2 linked regions of the Kluyveromyces lactis genome follow. The protein of the gene in region 1 binds, or shares a complex with, the protein of each later gene. Links are inferred from orthologs where the notes say so. Each region holds a gene or a part of one and is shown in the gene's direction. Other genes may lie near its edges. The genes, in order: FYV10 and GID8.

Region 1 (3,711 bases):
ACGAGGACAAACTGGATATTGTTGTCAGCAATCATTATCGTTCCGTTATCTTTATTAAGACATTTTGATAGCTTGAAATATACTAGTGTTATTGGTCTGTTGGCATTGGGTTACATTGGTTTATTGATTATTGGAAGCTATTCCTTCGGAAATTACCCAAAACCCAAAGTTGATTGGTTCTCTATATCGGATAGATCTGGAGTCTTGACGACATTTAGTATTATTGTATTTGCATTTACTGGTTCAATGAATCTATTTTCGATAATAAATGAATTGAAGGAAAATTCAATGACAAATATCAAAAAGATCATAAACAATTCCATCGTAGTATCATCCGCCTGTTTCATAATCTTGGGGCTGTTCGGATATTTGACTTTCGGAAAAGAAACTCTGGGAAATGTCATACTAAACTATGATGCTGATAAGCTCTCTGTCAGATTTGCTAGGTTCAATCTTGGCCTGATGGTTGTTTTGTCATTTCCCTTGTTGTTCCATCCTTGCCGTATATCGGCGAACAATATGGTCCATTGGTTACAATTGAACTATGGAACAAAGTCTGAAATAGATGAAACGATAGGGCCTATTACCCTGGAAATTGAGGATGATACTGATAGAGAATACCTCGAACAAGAGCTAGGCTCCTCCCATGACACTTCATTTGTCCACACGTACCAATCACTACCGAGGGCAACCGACGATGATAATGATGATCAGGTTGATGAACGCACTGAAGCAGTCCCATTCCCTGATTCCAGATTTTTGACTGTCACTTTCTTCTTACTTGCTGTACTATACGTTCTAGCGCTAAACGTTGAGTCATTCGCTTTAGTTCTTGCACTTGTTGGTGCAACTGGTTCTACAGCCATTTCATTCACGTTGCCAGGATTATTTGGGTGGAAGTTAATTGGTACTGAATCTTTGATGAACGGTGAGAGAATCGGAGGATGGGATAAAGCTCACAGATATGGAAGTCTGGCATTAGTCTGGTACGGTCTTATTATTATGGTAAGTTGTGTGTATATCACACTTTTTGTATGACCAGTTCAGCATCTCGCAGTTAAATCATTCAATGGTTCCAATCATTCTTTCTTGGCTAGATTATGAGCAAGGAGCTTTCTAAATAAAATTATTAAAATGTAATATATTCTGTCCTCGTCTGTTTGATGCTTTCTGGGTCTTAAACTTTAGGCGCAACACTTAGCCATTGGTATTTATCTTTTCACTAACAGTGTATAAACAAACGTCTGTAATGTTTCGCCTGATATTCCTACCCTCCAGTTGGTACTGCATCAACTCGACTTTAGCAATTTTTTTTTTCCAGCGTACCGGTTGATGTATTTCATTCATGGTAACTATATCTTTGTATTTCTGCATCAAATTGCATAAGAAAATTGAAAGGGGTTTTCACAATATACCTTAATCTTTAGGGATGAACCAAATAACTGACAAACTGGATCAATCAGTGTAATACTGGTGACGGTAAATCTACCAAAAAGCCTTTAGATGTCATTATGACTTCGTTAAACGAACCTAATGTCGATTTTCACCTAAAATTAAACCAGCAGCAGTTTAACATTCCTTCCGAATTGTTAAAGCGAAACTGGGATAAATTCAACAACCTATATACAAGCTATTCAGTAGAGCTACAGGGACAATTCGCTACTTTGAACACTTTACTTGAAGATCCAAATAAGGATGAGCAATCAATAGAAAAATTGAATGATATAATCAACACAGTGAACATTTTGCAGAAGAGACTATCGCAACTACATGATAATGAGTTAACAATTTTAGAAAGGATTGAGAAGAGAGTAGAATACTTCAAGCAGTTTGAAAGATTCAAATATGATTCTAACACTGACAAGCTTCTAAAATGGTACAGGTCATACACGGATTTGTTAATTGCCGATTATTTGGTAAGGCATGGTTCGAATTCTATAGATCATAAAAACAAGATTGCATCAAACTCTGGCATAGAGTTTATAAAGACTAGGGGATTAGAGGATTTGATTGATTACGAAGTTCTCATAGAAGCTAATCAGATATCTATGGAACTTATAGAAAATAAAAACCTTCGTCCTCTATTAGAGTGGATTGAAAATAACTCTGCGCACTTGACAGAAAAAGGTTCGCATTTACAGTTCCAAGCGTTATTGCAGGAGTACATTGAATTAGTACGATGTTCCGATTATAAAGCAGCAATCAGGTGCTTCCAAACACACCTTGCCCATTTCGCAAATATATATCCCAAAGAACTAAAACTGGCAGCGGGTATTCTTGCTTTCTTCAAAAGCTGCCTCAACAATGGTCGTGACGACGAAGTAACAAACGAACAAAAGTTGTTTCATGCCTATTTTAGAAAACAAATGTATCGACCACATCCGTTGTCATCAATTTCTTCTAGTAACGTTGTTCACAATGCTGAATTATGTCGATATGGTCCATTATTGGACCACGAGAGATGGGAAAGTTTGAATAAAATGTTCCTACATGAATTTTACTCACTCTACAAAATATCTTACCACGATCCACTATTAATATATATATCCTTAGGAATCTCTTCGTTAAAAACAAAGGATTGTGGTCACACCATTTCCGCGCAACTAATCCCTCATGAAAATCCGGAAGTAAATGAATACATTAAATCTAACGTTGTCAATACAGATTGTCCCGTATGCAATCATGACATATTCCCTCTATCTGAAAACTTACCATTTGCCCATCATATCCAATCGAGTTTATTTGAAAATCCAGTAATGTTGCCAAATGGCAATATTTACGACTCTGAAAAGCTAATATCATTATCTCGAAAACTAAACAAAATGGGGTACACTAAACTTAAAGAAAACCAAGTGATGGACCCTATTGATAAATCAATATATGCTACAACAGACTTTATCAAAATGTATCCTACTTAGATATAATAGAGAATATGTATTTTCTTATTCATCATCGCTGTCGTCTTTCAAAGGTTTTTTGGAATGTTTACGTTTATTGAACATTTCGAAAACGTACATTCTGGCATCTCTTTCCTCAGCTGGTTTGGTAGTATCCATTTCACTATTGGTACGCTTGTGATGATACCCTGGAAACTTGGACCAGTCGAATTTCCCTGATCTATCCACTTTCCAACCGTTATCTTTCGCTAGTATTTTTATTTGCCATGAATCGTATGGTTCGCCACTAAATAGAGAAAGAACCACTTTTCCATAACCTTCATCATCAACTCGAGTTTCATTATTTAGTGAGTATCCACCCATAGAAATGCTTGAGTTTAACATAATCTGGCTACTGTTTACGAGTCTGAACAGCTGCTTACAACTATCAAAGTATTTGTACACCAATTGTTGATGTTCGTGAATATTTCTGCCTTGATCTTTTATTCCACGACCTGTATGTGGAAAATTGAATAAGATGAAATCCAGTTTCTTTGTAGTCCATGAATTCCCCACTACTTTCTGCCATGGAGTCTTTTTCGTGATCTTCAAAGATTTTTTTAAGTTTGTTGCATCGATCCCGAACAGCATGACGACTTCATTCTCTTTAAGGAAATTGTAGTTTTCTTCGAAGCTATGTGGATACTTTAGCTTTAACTCTTTGATTCCACTGTCAAAACTGGTTATAATAAGATTTTCTGGTTGAATGTATTGCTGTTCAATAATGCTCTTCGCGAATGAAAAATCACCCTCACCAACCAAGAACAGAGTTGAA
Region 2 (3,204 bases), on another chromosome or scaffold:
ACATCCTTAATCTTCTGGGAACTCCATGTCAGCAAATGAAATGTCAACTGTTCATTGTACTCTGATAGTCTTTTCAAAATCCGTTTGAATTCTTCTTGATTCATATCCTGGTCGATCGCAGTGTCAGCCAAAAAATCAAGGGATCCACTTCTATAGTGACCACCGTAATGGTAGTCCCTTTGACGAGGACTAATTTGCGGTGACGAATTTGACGACGAAAGAAAATTTCCTGTCGTTGAAACGGTAATGTTTGTTTGTGACGTCTTGTTTGTCCGAATACTCGAATCGTTCTGCCTGTCGTAGTTCAATAGATTTGGGATGGAAGCAACACTATGGTAGCTGACACTTTGGGATAATGATTGAGGTGTTCTCGATGTAGGAGTTGCAGATGATGAAATAGAACCAGATTTGGGACTTTGGGACCCCTTTTGTGCCAGCGACGCTGTCATAGTTTCCATGAATGTCATAATAACAATTATACTGACTAGCCGTATGTCTATTTATGTGTATGTGTGATAAGCAATGTTGAACGAATATATTATTCAAAATGATATCGACTGTGTCTTGGCAAAAAAATTTGGTTTGGCTCTGTGGTTCTATTTTGTTATTTCAATTGAATGATAATGAGATTGCAATCTAACGAGTTACCTCTCTGTTAGTTTCGAATCTACTCTTGGCCTTAAATACCTGGCTTATTTGATGTTCGAAGAACTCGGAAAAGTACGCATATATTTATATCATTTCATTTTTGTATAGATCATTTCAGTTCCTTAATTTGATTTGACACTTTTTTGTCATCAGAATCTAAGTAAGTTTCAATTTAGAATATAGAAACGGCTTGGATTGCCTCCTCCATTTCATTATTGATCCTAAACCAATGAATATTGAAACTGTAAAGTTTTTAAATCTGTGTTATGCCCTCGATATGTCTACTGTTTTGTATATTACTACGTAAAATGTCGACTATAGCTGCTATGAGTGACATCTCATGAATCGTTTCCCTCTACTTGAAAGATACAAAAAAAAGAGTCCAGATTCAAGAAGATTTAAATTGAGAAGTTTCTCGATTACTGTTATCTGAAGCTACAAACCACGATTTGATATCTACATGAACTCCTTTTCTTTTCAGAATTGATCTGTCCCATTTCCTCGTCGTCAGAGGCCTGTTCCCTTATTTATTCACAAAGGTTTTTCACGAAATGAACCTTAACATCACTTAGTAAAGAAACTGGGCATTATCAACAGAAAAACAAAAAAATGAGCACCTAATTGTAAGTTGAAAGTGAGACTTCCTTAGCCCCTAATATTGAAAGAAAGAGTGGTACTATACTATTTGCGCTAAGCATAAGCCAATCTAGTTTTCCCTAGACTTATTGCTTCATACAAACGATGACCAATTTTAAATCTACCTATGAGAAGAAATCTTTCACTAGAGAACAATGGATGAAAGTGGTGCAGGACGCCAATCCCTATGATCGCAGCAACAGTGAGTTGTCGAATAATGAGCCGGTAATACCAATGTTATTATTGAACTATTTTGTGGTGATGGCATATGAGGAATCTAGTATCCGCATGGCTAAGGAGCTTGGGTTTTTGAATTCCAACAAAGACATTGAAGAATTCAACTCTGTATATATGATTAAGAAAAGGGCATACATCAAGGAACTTATCAAGAAGGGTGAAATTTTACTAGCTATGGAAAAGATTACCGAGGTATTTGGAATAGAGGTACTCGAAAGTTTGAATGACCATATTACAGATGAAGATTTGAACTTCAAGCTATTGTTGTTGAACCTTATTGAAATGATTCGTTCCCACAACGCCAAGGGCGACCCTAACGATCAGGAGCAGTTTATATTAGAGCTTATCTCTTATGCTCAGGATAAACTTGCTTTGAAAGCAAGCTCCAAAAAAGAGTATATGAAGGAAGTCGAATTAGTTATGACCCTTCTTCTCTTCCCGTTATCGGATGAGGATGGTTCGAGTCCTTCTGCTAAGTTACCAAAGAAGTTGAAACAGCTATATTCCTTAAATATGAGAACTAAAGTAGCTGATCTAGTGAACAGAAAGCTTTTGCAATCGATATTACCGAGGATAAACTCTCAACTCGAAAAATCTGGTTTACCTGACATCTTAGGATCCAGCTTCCAATCAAATCGAGTTCCCACTCTAACAAACGTTATACGATCCATTCCAAGGGAATCTATCACGACAGAAAGGCTTACCGGAGAGCTAGCACATATTGAAGAAAAGCAGGGAAGTTCTATGAGCACCAATTCCGACATGAGTCGCATACAAGGTGAAATCTTTGAAGAGTTAGGTGAGAACTTGCATTCTTATTATATCCCTAACGACGTTAGATTGGTACAAATCATGAAACTTTGGGTTTGGTGTGAAAACCAATTGCATAGTTCGGATGTTGGTGTTCCGAGGGTTGAAGGAGTGATTTAGTGCAAAATCTATAATCTTTTATACTATATATGCATGGGTTCCCTATATTCACATTATGTTTTCAAGCATTTAACGGCAGCTTGCAATTTTCACACCAAAAACTCACAGTCTATAGTGTCACCAGTTTCCATCTTTAAGAAACACAATTGAATATCGTCGAGGTTTTTTGGAAGTTCCTCGCTCATGGTGTTGTAGATTTTTACATTTTTGGTAATGGTGAAGGTTTTGCTTGGCTGTTTGAACTGATCATAAAAGTGACCATCTTTAAAGAAGTGATAAAGTTTTGATTTTAATAGCCTTAATGTACAACCAAACTCTGGTCTTTTTTCATTTTCGAATTCTTCTGGTGAGAATTCAATGTGGAATGTGATTGGATTATCCAACAGAAGCTTTTTGGTATCTTCGTCGATAACTTGGCATCTAACGTATATGTGAGCGACATGCACAGGTTTGGCAAAGAACTTTTCCCTCGATTCGAACTCCTCGATTATGAGACCGGATTTTTCATCAAACCATTCTGTGGCATGGTACGAATCGTCATGTATGAATCGATGGTTTCTAATAAAATCTTCGTCCAATTTAGTGCTGTTCAATTGTTCCCATGTATCCATTTGTAAGGCACTCATTTGAATTGTTATGTAGAGTTCATTCACAAGAGCAAATCCTCCCATCACCACAAGAAAAAGTGTTATTCGGGCACTTAGCGGGTCATCAGTGTATTGTTTAAGAAAGTTTACTTTTCTGATCCAAGCG

What was found.
Region 2: the proteins of FYV10 (region 1) and GID8 are in contact, whole or in part, in a cryo-EM structure (PDB 7NS3), measured with the Saccharomyces cerevisiae proteins. The link is inferred for Kluyveromyces lactis from reciprocal best matches to the Saccharomyces cerevisiae genes FYV10 and GID8. Residues at the interface, in NP_012169.1 of Saccharomyces cerevisiae: Tyr243, Ile247, Phe250, Gln251, Phe262, Leu265, Lys266, Ser269, Gly270, Leu272, Ile273, Phe274, Lys276, Tyr277, Gln310, His314, Lys315, Ser316, Leu317, Pro318, Phe344, Arg346, Tyr347; in NP_013854.1 of Saccharomyces cerevisiae: Asn220, Leu224, Ile227, Ser230, Gln231, Ala235, Ala238, Ser239, Met245, Gln246, Leu248, Glu249, Leu250, Met252, Thr253, Leu256, Lys272, Leu274, Met357, Ala366, Asn367, Ser368, Val369, Trp370, Leu371.

The regions. Positions count from the first base shown.
Region 1 is NC_006041.1:764,205-767,915, reverse strand, and holds FYV10 (glucose-induced degradation complex subunit FYV10), read left to right. Parts: upstream 1-1,511; coding exon 1,512-2,918; downstream 2,919-3,711. Other genes in the region: AVT7 (Avt7p), read left to right, coding at 1-1,038; BMT5 (25S rRNA (uracil2634-N3)-methyltransferase), read right to left, coding at 2,943-3,711. UniProt on the Saccharomyces cerevisiae protein: Component of the GID E3 ligase complex recruiting N termini and catalyzing ubiquitination of proteins targeted for degradation.
Region 2 is NC_006042.1:1,569,901-1,573,104, forward strand, and holds GID8 (glucose-induced degradation complex subunit GID8), read left to right. Parts: upstream 1-1,389; coding exon 1,390-2,451; downstream 2,452-3,204. Other genes in the region: GAT2 (Gat2p), read right to left, coding at 1-467; ERG29 (Erg29p), read right to left, coding at 2,541-3,204. UniProt on the Saccharomyces cerevisiae protein: Component of the GID E3 ligase complex recruiting N termini and catalyzing ubiquitination of proteins targeted for degradation.